Linked DNA regions of Saccharomyces cerevisiae S288C. The protein of the gene in region 3 interacts with the protein of the main gene of each other region in a biochemical or structural test. Each region holds a gene or a part of one and is shown on either strand. Other genes may lie near its edges.

Region 1 (4,913 bases), on a different chromosome or scaffold from region 3:
GTATGATGATAAAATGTACATTTGTATTTACTGTTTGCTTTTTTTCTTTCTTGTTTTTCTACTCTCCTTTCTACCAGGTATTCTAACTCTATTATATAATTAAAAAAAAAATAACCATATATTTTGTATTAAGTTTCATACATGTGTTCAAGTGTATTTTTGGATTTATCATTTTTCTATGTGAGGTAAGTTTTTGAATGTCCCATTTTCCTTTCGTTTTTGGAAAGTTCTAAGAAAAAGCATTAACAATTAAAAAAAAAAAAAAAATCTAAATAATACTGATAGAAATATCAAATATAAACTACTAATATCGGTAATATTCAAAAGAAGAAGCATGACTATAAGCGAAGCTCGTCTATCACCGCAAGTCAATCTTCTCCCAATAAAGAGGCACTCAAACGAAGAGGTAGAGGAGACTGCAGCGATTCTAAAAAAGCGTACTATAGATAATGAAAAGTGTAAAGACAGCGACCCTGGTTTTGGTTCCCTTCAAAGAAGGTTACTGCAGCAACTTTATGGCACACTTCCTACGGACGAAAAGATAATCTTCACATATTTACAAGATTGTCAACAAGAGATCGATAGAATCATTAAACAATCCATTATTCAGAAAGAGAGTCATTCAGTAATTCTCGTGGGGCCCAGACAAAGTTACAAAACATACTTATTAGACTATGAACTGTCTTTGTTGCAACAATCTTATAAAGAGCAGTTTATAACTATCAGGTTGAATGGGTTTATTCACTCCGAACAAACAGCTATTAACGGTATAGCAACTCAATTGGAACAGCAGTTGCAGAAAATTCATGGCAGTGAAGAAAAAATTGACGATACTTCATTAGAGACTATTAGCAGTGGTTCTTTGACAGAAGTGTTTGAGAAAATTCTTTTACTCTTAGATTCGACCACGAAGACAAGAAATGAAGATAGTGGTGAGGTTGACAGAGAGAGTATAACAAAGATAACAGTTGTTTTTATATTCGATGAAATTGATACATTTGCTGGGCCTGTGAGGCAAACTTTATTATACAATCTTTTTGACATGGTAGAACATTCTCGGGTACCTGTTTGCATTTTTGGCTGCACAACGAAATTAAATATCTTGGAATATTTAGAAAAGAGGGTAAAGAGTAGATTTTCTCAAAGAGTGATTTATATGCCGCAAATACAGAATCTAGACGATATGGTTGACGCCGTCAGAAATTTACTTACAGTTCGCTCTGAAATCTCCCCCTGGGTTTCACAATGGAATGAAACGTTGGAAAAAGAACTATCCGACCCTCGATCGAATTTGAATAGACATATTAGGATGAATTTCGAAACCTTTAGGTCATTACCTACATTGAAAAATAGCATAATTCCATTAGTAGCGACATCCAAAAATTTTGGTTCACTCTGCACTGCCATAAAATCGTGTTCTTTTCTTGACATATACAATAAGAACCAACTATCTAATAATTTAACAGGAAGGCTCCAATCTTTATCCGATTTAGAGTTAGCCATTTTGATCTCAGCCGCTAGGGTTGCCTTAAGGGCGAAAGACGGATCTTTTAATTTTAATTTAGCTTATGCAGAGTATGAAAAGATGATTAAAGCTATCAACTCCAGAATTCCCACCGTGGCTCCTACTACAAATGTGGGAACAGGTCAAAGTACTTTTTCTATCGACAATACTATCAAACTATGGTTGAAAAAGGACGTCAAGAACGTTTGGGAAAATTTAGTGCAACTGGATTTTTTTACCGAGAAATCAGCCGTTGGTTTGAGAGATAATGCGACCGCAGCATTTTACGCTAGCAATTATCAATTTCAGGGCACCATGATCCCGTTTGACTTGAGAAGTTACCAGATGCAGATCATTCTTCAGGAATTAAGAAGAATTATCCCCAAATCTAATATGTACTACTCCTGGACACAACTGTGAATCTTGGGAACAATATACAGACATTTTATTGGCGGTAGCAACTCTGATATTCCACTGTTCAGCTTTCCTAATAAGTAAGTTCAAGATTATGTGGTCATCGCGTCGAACGGAAATACACCCATACACCAAACCTCTGTGAATTTGAAAAATTCACATATGCATTTAATAGAGCATAGGCAATGTAGAGAGAGAAATTAACAATGGTGAAAAGAAATATTACCAAACACCAGCAAAAGAAATTGTATAGTATTAGCAGTACATTCGTGGTCAAGCAGAATAACAGTAAAATAATATGAGTGATAATGGTTCCCCCGCGGTTCTTCCAAAAACCGAATTTAATAAATACAAAATCGGCAAAGTGAAGAGTACACCAGCCATCCAGCGAGATGCGAAGACTAACTTAACATACATCAAACTAAGAAAAAGAAGTAGTGAGAAAGTTTACGGGTGTACAGTTTTCCAGAATCATTATCGTGAGGATGAAAAATTAGGACAAGGAACATTTGGTGAGGTTTATAAGGGAATTCATTTAGAGACTCAAAGACAAGTGGCAATGAAAAAAATTATAGTTAGCGTTGAAAAAGATCTGTTTCCTATAACTGCACAACGAGAAATTACTATTTTAAAGCGTTTAAACCACAAAAATATTATTAAACTAATCGAAATGGTGTATGACCATTCACCGGATATTACAAATGCGGCATCCAGCAACCTACATAAGTCATTCTACATGATCCTGCCGTATATGGTAGCAGATCTGTCGGGCGTTTTGCATAATCCGAGAATCAACTTAGAGATGTGCGATATAAAGAATATGATGCTACAAATATTAGAAGGCCTAAATTATATTCATTGTGCAAAATTCATGCATAGGGATATAAAGACAGCAAATATTTTGATTGACCACAACGGTGTTTTAAAGCTTGCTGATTTTGGTTTAGCAAGATTATATTATGGCTGTCCTCCAAACTTAAAGTATCCTGGTGGTGCAGGTTCCGGCGCCAAATATACATCAGTAGTCGTAACGAGATGGTATAGAGCACCTGAGTTGGTGCTTGGTGATAAACAGTATACAACAGCTGTTGATATATGGGGTGTCGGATGCGTTTTCGCAGAATTTTTTGAGAAAAAACCTATTTTACAGGGAAAAACGGATATTGATCAGGGACATGTTATTTTCAAACTACTTGGTACACCGACAGAAGAAGATTGGGCCGTGGCTAGATATTTGCCAGGTGCTGAACTAACAACAACTAATTACAAGCCAACGTTGAGGGAAAGATTTGGTAAATATCTAAGTGAAACAGGTCTAGATTTTTTAGGACAGTTGTTAGCGTTAGATCCTTACAAGAGGTTGACCGCTATGTCTGCTAAACACCATCCTTGGTTTAAAGAGGACCCTTTACCATCAGAGAAGATAACATTACCGACGGAAGAAAGTCATGAAGCTGATATTAAGAGGTACAAGGAAGAAATGCACCAATCATTGTCCCAAAGAGTACCTACTGCGCCAAGAGGTCATATAGTTGAAAAGGGTGAATCACCTGTCGTGAAAAATCTTGGGGCGATCCCAAGAGGCCCCAAGAAAGATGACGCAAGTTTTTTGCCTCCATCAAAGAACGTATTGGCTAAGCCGCCTCCTTCGAAAATAAGAGAACTACATCAAAATCCTAGACCGTATCATGTGAACAGCGGATATGCTAAAACTGCGATTCCACCGCCAGCAGCCCCTGCAGGAGTTAATAGATACGGACCCAACAATAGTTCCAGAAATAATCGCTTCAGCGGCAACAGCACTGCACCCAACAACAGCAGGAATCCCGTAAATCGATTTCATCCTGAGACAAATGTCAGCTCTAAATATAATAAAGTACCTTTGCCATTGGGGCCTCAGTCAAGATACCAGGGTAATTCAAATGAGTCCCGGTACAAAAACTCGCCAAATGACTCTAGATATCATAACCCTAGGTACGTGAACAAGCCGGAAACCAACTTCAATAGGCAACCACAGAAATATAGTCGCCAAGAATCCAATGCGCCAATCAATAAAAATTATAATCCTTCAAACGGTTCTCGCAATATGGCTGGTGATCATCATCAAGGCTCGAGACCTTCTCATCCACAATTCCCAATCTCGCCCTCACAGGGGCAGCATCAGCTTACGAGTAAACCAATAGAGAAAAAAAATGGAAGCTTTAAGGATGAAAGAGCGAAACCAGATGAGTCTAAGGAGTTCCAAAATAGTGATATTGCAGATCTATATTAGGTTATACTATTCTCTCTTCCTTTCTGGCCTCGTGGCTAATTACGGAAAGTTGTATACTGACTACTATGTAATCTATCACGTTTTGTCACTGTCTCGCTCTTTTCAAACAATCCATAAAATCGAAACTATTGTCAAAACGTCAGTACATCCTACCTGATAGGGACTGTACCAATGTCAACGTTCGAGTAAGTGATAATAAGGACCGCCTTACCCACCTTCAGGACACTCGGTTTTACACAAGCGTTATCCTGCGCGGATTTTCAATATGAAAACAACTAAGTTTTCCTGTAACATCATATATACCATTTAAAAGAGTGCCAAAAAACCGATAACGATTATTTTAAAGGCGTTTTATATAAGAGAAGAAGTAAAGAGAAAAAAGCGCTTACTAGAAATGGGGAGAAGGGTGCCAAAGAGATAAAAAAAACTCCCAGCTAAGTCACTGGTTCAACGTTCCAAATGGTATCGGAGTATTCCTCGATACAACGATCACTGCTAAAGAAGCCGACGTTTGCAACGCTCAGGACACTCTTTTTTAACCATTCTGACCTTTGATTGTGGAACTCCTGGTCCACTAATTCATGGGTGGCCAGATAGGATTCAAAGTCATCACTGACCAGGTAATAATCGCCGTGGTACTTAATACTGTCGACTAAAGGTTTGAATTCATTTGGATTTTCTGGAGAAAATTGTCCACTTTCAATGTAGGATAAAACAGAATCC
Region 2 (4,353 bases), on a different chromosome or scaffold from region 3:
GGTTTTCTAATGGCTCTTGCGGATTATAGGAAGGAAAGTACAGATAACCGTAGGGATCATCTTCAACAATGAGGAAATCGTGTCTTTGGGCCAACTGGTAAATTTTCTCTCTTTTCCACTGGGGGACAGACATCCCGGTAGGATTTTGGCCCGTTGCAATGGTATATAGGACCCTTGGCTTGTTTAAGTCTTTGTATGGTCCAGTTGACCAATTATCGAGCAACTGCGTTAGATATTCGACATCAATACCCTGGGACTCTCTGTCGAAGGTCAGGTTCATCTTGATGGGGATGACTTTTGCTCCTGTAGCCTCCACATTGGACATAGCCGGGGTGAAAGTAAACTCTTCAATCATCACAGTGGTCGATTCGTCGCAAATTGTTTCAAAAACCTTAAACATTGAATCGTTGGACCCGCCAGAAAGGATGACATCCCAGTTAGACTCCGTCTCATCGGAAAAGGCTGGGCGATTAATTCTGGACACAAAATCTTTAACAAAATGTAAGAGAGGGGGTAAACCCTTGGTTTCTGCATATTGGAAAGAACGTGCAATGGGTAGCTCACTGGGGGATCCCAAGTCCAAATGCGCCGTGGTAAACGAATTATGCCATTTTGGGTTATCATTAAAAGGAACTTTTGATATTTTCAAATCCATAGATTCGATAGGAAAAAATCTCTCGTTTGGCATTCCACCAGCTAGCTCAATGACGTCATCTGAGATATCAGAAGCATCCCAAAAGCTTTTCAGAGATCTATTTTCTACTCTTCTGGAGAGAAACGGTTGGAAGTTCTTCTTTAAGGAAGTGTAATCAACAGGGGGGGCAGAACCAGCAGTCATTGAGTCGATGAGAGAGTGTAATTGTGGTATGTGTGTATTTTTATGTTTACACTGGGATATTACAAGACCAAATCAAGCTTTTTCCTTTATATATATCAAATATTTATAATGTTTCCTACCCCAATGATGGTTCGGTTATCCGCGGCAAATCTCGGTAAGCATCGGCAATGCTTCCGCGAGTTACCGCTTTTTTTTTTTTATTCCTTTGTTATTATCTACGGCCGTCGGCGGCAATAGTATTTTTGCTCACGTGACCGACAAGGGTCCATTTTATTGCGGTACGGCTCTCTCTTTTTTTTTTTCTCCTCTTCAACTTCTCTCTGATTGCAAACAATATATAACATAACCATGTTCATTACGTACGAAAATATATATACATAAATGCATGGCAGTTATGGCAATTACAACTACAACGCCGTAAAGTTCCAAACGCAGCGGCCTGAGATAGTAAATGATGTACGCACGTGGGCGAAAGTTCATTACTTTGACTGTTGTAACATACCGTATCTCTCTTTTCCCACGTGCTCCGCTCTCTTATCTACCTTGGCGGTACAGCCCTGCGCGGAGTCACTGCAGCCACGTGCCTAGATCTATTACTATGACTTCCCATGGGCACATATACGCCATTAATATACAATATATATAACGTTCATATATGGGTATTTACAGAGAGCCAGGGGCAAATTGGACAGATGTCTCCACGCGGCAAAATGGAAACAGCAGTTTCACAAGGACAACACAAACAACTTAAAGATGGTCACCAGCATAAGGGAAGAAAACTCTCCGAGGAGATCGCTTCTCTATTGAGGCTCAAAGAGTGCAGGAGGCTCAATCCTGCTAGTTACTATACTCCACGTAGAACATCGCAGTCACAATCTCTCAGTGGATCAACTTTTAAAGAGTATAACGAGTACATTAATGAGAAAGATTCAAGTAGAGCGCAGCGTCAAAACGCTGCCGCCGTTTTAAGCAAGCTCGCCCATGACTTTTGGGAGAACGACTGTGTCATTGACGAAGACATATTCGAAGATTCGTCTGACGAAGAACAATCATGATTGCATCTCTTAATCGTTACACATACATACCTTCTACCTCTGTACTGTTACATATGCATTGACTTTACGATCTAATATAAATCCTTTTGATGTTACCCCGCCTGTGGGCTCGTTCTCCTTTCGTTTCTTACGATTTTTTCGCCGGAACAAGAAAAAACAGAACAAAACAAATCAGCGATCGTATACATGGGTCTTTGATTTCTGCTTGCTTCTTACAAACAACAAACGCAAACCGTTCATTGAGTGCTCTGTGACTGGTTTTCATGTGGATGCCATAGTAGAGAAAAGACACATACAAAAATTTCGCGCATTCGCTGGCCCTTTTCCTGCTCTCCTCTTCCCCATGTCCATGCCCATAGCAAGTACCACTCTAGCAGTTAACAACCTCACCAATATAAACGGAAACGCAAATTTTAACGTACAAGCAAACAAACAACTCCACCACCAGGCTGTCGACTCGCCCGCAAGATCTTCGATGACCGCCACGACCGCCGCCAACTCCAACAGCAACTCTTCCAGAGATGACTCTACTATTGTCGGCCTACATTACAAGATCGGCAAAAAAATAGGGGAAGGTTCCTTTGGTGTGCTATTTGAAGGTACTAATATGATCAATGGCGTACCCGTCGCGATCAAATTCGAGCCCAGAAAAACGGAGGCCCCTCAATTAAGAGATGAATATAAAACATATAAAATTCTGAATGGCACTCCCAATATCCCCTACGCGTACTACTTCGGCCAAGAAGGTTTGCACAATATCTTGGTCATTGATCTTTTGGGTCCCTCTTTGGAAGATTTATTTGATTGGTGTGGAAGAAAATTTTCTGTCAAAACGGTTGTGCAAGTTGCTGTCCAAATGATTACTTTGATTGAAGACTTGCACGCACATGACTTGATATACCGTGATATCAAACCAGACAATTTCTTGATTGGAAGGCCCGGCCAACCTGACGCAAACAACATCCATTTGATCGACTTCGGTATGGCCAAACAGTATCGTGATCCGAAAACTAAACAGCACATCCCATATAGAGAGAAAAAATCACTCAGCGGCACTGCCAGATATATGTCCATTAATACTCACCTTGGAAGAGAGCAGTCCAGAAGAGATGATATGGAGGCCTTGGGTCACGTTTTCTTTTATTTCTTGAGAGGCCACTTACCCTGGCAGGGTTTAAAAGCTCCAAACAATAAGCAAAAATACGAAAAGATTGGTGAAAAGAAAAGATCTACTAACGTTTACGATCTAGCTCAAGGCTTACCTGTGCAATTTGGCAGGTATCTAGAAATCGTCAGAAGTCTTTCCTTTGAAGAGTGTCCCGATTATGAAGGCTATAGAAAACTATTACTATCTGTACTGGATGATTTAGGTGAAACCGCGGACGGCCAATATGATTGGATGAAACTGAACGATGGCCGTGGTTGGGATCTTAACATAAACAAGAAGCCAAATCTCCACGGATACGGCCATCCAAATCCACCAAACGAAAAATCGAGAAAACATAGAAACAAACAGCTCCAAATGCAACAGCTCCAAATGCAACAGCTCCAACAACAGCAACAGCAACAGCAATATGCTCAAAAAACTGAGGCAGATATGCGCAATTCTCAATATAAACCAAAGTTAGACCCTACTTCTTATGAAGCTTACCAGCATCAAACCCAGCAGAAATACCTGCAAGAACAACAAAAGAGACAGCAGCAACAAAAACTTCAGGAGCAACAACTTCAAGAGCAACAATTGCAACAGCAGCAACAGCAACAGCAACAGCTACGTGCAACAGGCCAACCTCCATCTCAGCCTCAAGCGCAAACTCAATCTCAGCAGTTTGGCGCTCGTTATCAACCACAACAACAACCTTCTGCTGCTTTAAGAACTCCTGAACAGCACCCAAATGACGATAATTCAAGTCTAGCTGCTTCTCATAAGGGCTTTTTCCAAAAATTAGGTTGTTGCTAAATATAGAAATGACATTTTTTGCAAGACTACCGTCTTTCTTACATTTTTTGTAATGTGAATATATCTGTATACTTTACAACCGAAACGACATTTACCATACTTATAATTTTCGAGTTCTTCGCTGTGGACAAGAGATTAAGTGAGATCAATAACTTCGATAAGAGTATCTCCCGGGAGTACCTCGTCATCATCATCAAGGATTACAACTTCTAAGGAGCTGCTAATATTATCACTTATTATTTGATCTTTGTTATTCTTCGTCTCTCCGCACCAGCGATCATCTCTATATCTCCTTTCGGCTGCAAAAGCCGCCAACTCTCTCGGGGAATTACCTCTATCTATAGATGATATACCCTCTGGATGCAAACTCCCTAACTTCACACCTTTGCCCCTTTTTCTCACTATCCCTGTGTTAGTACTTATTCCTGTCATAGGATATCTATTTGAACGTAAGTTTGCTCTTCCACCGAGACGTTGACCGTTCCCCAAAAATGTGTCGT
Region 3 (4,424 bases):
CTAGATTTTAAAGTGGTTCGGTTCTTTTTTATGCTTTCTTAGCTTCTGGCTGTTCGTTGGAGCTCAGACTTACGGGTAGACCAATGTCATCGAAATACTGTGGAAGATCAAGCTCGGAAGGAGAGCGAGGCTAAGTTCCGAGCTACTGAAAAAAATGGAAAAAACAAGTGCCTTAATTGAATGACTAGATGGGTGCTTGTTAACGAAGGCGTGCTGCTATTCATGAAGCTGTTGCATTGTACTGTACAGTAATGTTTCGAGCCGGATCATCAAAAAGATTCTTACGAAACACACTAATAGCAATTTCATGGGTTCCGGTACTTCTAACAATCAATAATAATGTGGTCCATATTGCGCAAGTTAAAGGTACCTCTATGCAGCCTACGCTGAACCCGCAAACGGAAACGCTGGCAACAGATTGGGTGCTGCTTTGGAAGTTTGGAGTCAAGAACCCAAGTAATTTATCTAGAGATGACATTATCCTTTTCAAAGCTCCTACAAACCCTCGGAAAGTTTACTGCAAAAGGGTTAAAGGTTTACCGTTTGATACCATTGACACGAAGTTTCCATACCCTAAACCTCAAGTGAACCTGCCCAGGGGACACATATGGGTCGAAGGGGACAATTATTTTCATTCGATTGATAGCAATACTTTTGGCCCCATTTCCAGTGGGTTGGTCATAGGGAAAGCTATAACAATTGTTTGGCCACCCTCCAGGTGGGGAACGGATCTCAAACTGAGTACCGGTAGAGACTGCATTAGCAAAAGAGCCATTTTAGAATGAAAATCAGCTTATTTTTATGAATTTAGAAGTGACCCCGGTATTCAAATGCAAATTTTTTATATTATGTGATTAATCTAATGCAATAAATATAGATGATTGTGATTTATGTATTGATGTTGTTGCCGTTCGGTTCCTGAATATATACTTCTTTTTTTCATAATACTTCATGCACATGTAGTATCATTTTTTATCTTCAGTCTCTAGAGAAGGGAATAACGATCTTCTTGCGGGCCTGGGTAAATCTTCTCGGTCGGAACCAACGAAAGTAAAATCTCCGTCTTGCTCTTCATCTCCACTTACTTGCTGATGATTGCCTCTCTCATCTTCGAAACTAAAATATGATGGGGTATCCAGTCCGTCCATTAGTAGCATATGTGAAGTGCTTAGGTTACTGTTACTACTCATAGACGACTTACTTAAGATGGGGAAGAAATTTTCGTCGCCTGTACTCTCACTTGAATTTAATGATGAACCACTAGAGACTCTTCTGTGGTTTAATGACAGCTTCGGAGGCGGCTCAAACCTGAACGATAGTGCAGAAGATGCCATTGTTGTTGAAGATTGATGGCTATCTCTATAAAAGAAGTTAGGATTTGAAGGGGAAGCTAGTTTTCTAAAAGAATTATTTTTAGTAGCAAATCTTTTAGATTCTCTCCTAAACTTATCCATTTCTTGTTCACAATTCAGCAAATTTTCTTGTGAGTTCATTCCCACGTACTGACGTGGATAACATAGTTCAGGAAAATTGTCAAAAACAGCTTTGTATCCGCCATCCAATATCAATATGTCGGGATAGAATAATTTGGGATAATGATCCTGATTTATTATACGATCACAATTTCTCAAATGAGAGGCCAATGAAGGTCCCCGGTGGGAACTAAATTCGCAATGGATAATTAAAAGAGTTGGTAGAGTGTTGTTGTTGCTAGTATCGCTATGCAAAACTTTATGGATAAATTCGTACTCTAACTCATCTCTCGAGTGTATGTTAACGGAGTTTATTATGTGGCCGCCAGTATATTCGTATTCAAACCGACAATCTATAATACGACATGAATTATAAAATGACTCGCACATATTATTCTGCAGAATATTTTTCAACGTTTCTGGAGAAATTCGAGGGAAAAAGTCATTTGAGTTACGATCGTCATAATAATATGGTATCTGTGTTTTGGCTAGGCATGATTCAAAACATTTCACCCCTACCGAATTAGGAGCTAGTGGACTGGATGACGCAGACGTGAAGTTCAAAGTATTCTGAGTAATGTTAGAAAATTTCTGTGAACTTTTTCTCGATGACCTCGGAATTTTCCCATCTTGCCGTTGCACCCTCCTGCTTGAATTGCTACTGCTATTCATGCTTGGCTTTCTCGACAAGGACCTTGACCTTGAAAAAGAGCTCGACCTCTGGGGACTGCCAGGATACTTGATTCTACTTAAAAGATCATTATCCCTATTATTGGTCAAAGATCTTCTTGATGAGTTTCTTGTTGGACTTTGTAAGGTTTGAGAAGCAAAATGCATGCTTAAGACTATATCATCATTTTCATTTTCATTTTCATCTAACTCATCGCGATGGCCAAGCTGCTTTATATTCGGTGAAGGACCATCAATTTCCTTACTCCTGTGATTTGTTAACAATGGAGATTTATCAAAGGCAAGATTCTCTTTATTGATTAAATCATCGTCGACATTCGAATGTTTGCTTTTTGACTTAAAGAAGGTCTGAACATTTCTAAATATGTTCTTCTTCTTACCAAAGGGACTTTTCAAGGAAATTTTTTGGAAACTAAGAACGTCTTCATTGGCACATTCATCTTCAGTTCCATGAAATATATTGTTCATGGTTTCTTCACCCTCGCTGACTTCAATCCTGGTTTGTCCACTGCTCTGTTTATCTTTTGTCTCCTTTCAAGTTAACTCTCTTTTCTTTGTTTTCGCTTGTAACTTTAAGTTTTCTGATATACGGCATCGAAACAGGGAAAAAACAGATAAAGCATAAAAAAGAAGGAAATAACAGAGTGTAACTGTTGGGGAAATATCATAATGAGAATATTTAAACGCCGGAACAATGTATCAAAAAGGGCTTTACCGCTAATAAGTGGAGTATCTATGCTTTTTTGACGTATACAATGGACAGAAAAAGCGCCATATAAAACATTGAAGCCCCTCTTCATCCTTAGTCCTGAAAATGAGGCCTAGGAAATTAAGTATTCGGCAAAGATACATAATACAGTTCTAAAAGTAGCAAACTGGTAGATACTATTTGTGGCGCAGTTAGCTACCCCAAAATAAAAACGGTAATCTTCTCCCATTAGGGGCACCCCTCTTGCTTTTGTACGATGTGGTATCTTCGATTTTCAAACTGACAGGCATATTGCACAGCATAATGCGCACGGAATTCATTAAACTGTACGGATATATATATGATATTACGGTGCCATATGATATTATACAATATTATACTGTACTGTACTATATTATATTATATTGTATTAATTATATTATACTATACCCTATCATACCAAATATTTTGGCTATATTAATTTTTATCTACGTGTATCTAAGTTGTTACAGGCGGGGGAACTGAATTCCTTCAAAATGTGAAGGTACCGGAAAAATGGCAAAGAATCATGATAATAATAACAATAAGCCGTAAGCTTCATAAGTCATTGAACAGAATTATCTTATGAAGAAAGATCTATCGAATTAAAAAAATGGGGTCTATTAAATGTCTCCATGTTTTTTATGAGTCTTGATGTGTTGCGACAAATTATCGCTTCTACTAAATTTCTTATCGCATATGTGACAAGCAAATGGTCGTTCGTTAGAGTGAACAGATCTCACATGCCTTTTCAAATGTTCGCTGCGCTTAAAGCTCTTGGGACAAATGTGACAGTGGAACGGTTTCTCCTCGAGTTCCTTTGTTGATTCTATTACGACACTTGATCTTCTGGACGGTGTCATTGATTTTCTCCTGTAACTTGGCCTTCTTTCCTTCGTAACCCCAGCACCATTGCCAGTTGAGTTGACACTACTACTGCTTATATTATTTTGTTGATTTGTAAGCGGCACCGTACCCATCAAAGGCACAGCAGACTTCCGCCTCCGAAGGGAAGAACCGATTTTAGAGTTCATGGTATGGTGACCCTGCTGTGGGAAATGGTGATAGAAATGATTTGTTGCAAGAGACGTGGAGGATGATGATGCAGGCGATAATGGAGCCATATTCATTTGAGTGATGGAAAGATCGAAATTTGGAGTAGAATTAGCATTTTGTTCACCTTCCTCTGTCAAAAATGGCATATCATTACTCAAGCCTGTAGTCGCCACTTTCGCAATAACGGACGCATTGTCTGAAAGAATCATAGACGGTTTGATAAATTGTTGAGATGAACTCAAATTTGAATTCGGCAGCATATCGTTCTTGGGGTCTTCATCCTGCTTATTAACCAGGTCGTAGCTTAGTGAATCATCGATTATGGGTAAAGAAGCTCTTTGCCTTCTTGAATAAAGATCGCTGTTGAAGGATTTCATGTTAGTGCTACTGTTATTATGTGACGAGGTGAGCTGCTTGTGTTGAACTCGGTTTAGCTGTTGCTGTAATTGCTGACTTGGATTTATCTTTGTCATAGCATT

What was found.
Region 1: of the proteins of MIH1 (region 3) and SGV1, one has a biochemical effect on the other in vitro, tested with the Saccharomyces cerevisiae proteins (one study listed by BioGRID).
Region 2: of the proteins of MIH1 (region 3) and YCK1, one has a biochemical effect on the other in vitro, tested with the Saccharomyces cerevisiae proteins (one study listed by BioGRID).

What each region holds. Positions count from the first base shown.
Region 1 is NC_001148.4:863,726-868,638, reverse strand, and holds SGV1 (cyclin-dependent serine/threonine protein kinase SGV1), read left to right. Parts: upstream 1-2,216; coding exon 2,217-4,190; downstream 4,191-4,913. Other genes in the region: ORC4 (origin recognition complex subunit 4), read left to right, coding at 335-1,924; GPH1 (glycogen phosphorylase), read right to left, coding at 4,625-4,913. UniProt on the Saccharomyces cerevisiae protein: Serine/threonine-protein kinase component of the BUR kinase complex involved in transcription regulation.
Region 2 is NC_001140.6:372,194-376,546, reverse strand, and holds YCK1 (serine/threonine protein kinase YCK1), read left to right. Parts: upstream 1-2,236; coding exon 2,237-3,853; downstream 3,854-4,353. Other genes in the region: ARO9 (aromatic-amino-acid:2-oxoglutarate transaminase), read right to left, coding at 1-838; SPL2 (Spl2p), read left to right, coding at 1,447-1,893; metalloendopeptidase WSS1, read right to left, coding at 3,989-4,353. UniProt on the Saccharomyces cerevisiae protein: Casein kinases are operationally defined by their preferential utilization of acidic proteins such as caseins as substrates.
Region 3 is NC_001145.3:340,891-345,314, forward strand, and holds MIH1 (putative tyrosine protein phosphatase MIH1), read right to left. Parts: upstream 2,631-4,424; coding exon 966-2,630; downstream 1-965. Other genes in the region: IMP2 (endopeptidase catalytic subunit), read left to right, coding at 252-785; stress-responsive transcriptional activator MSN2, read right to left, coding at 3,513-4,424.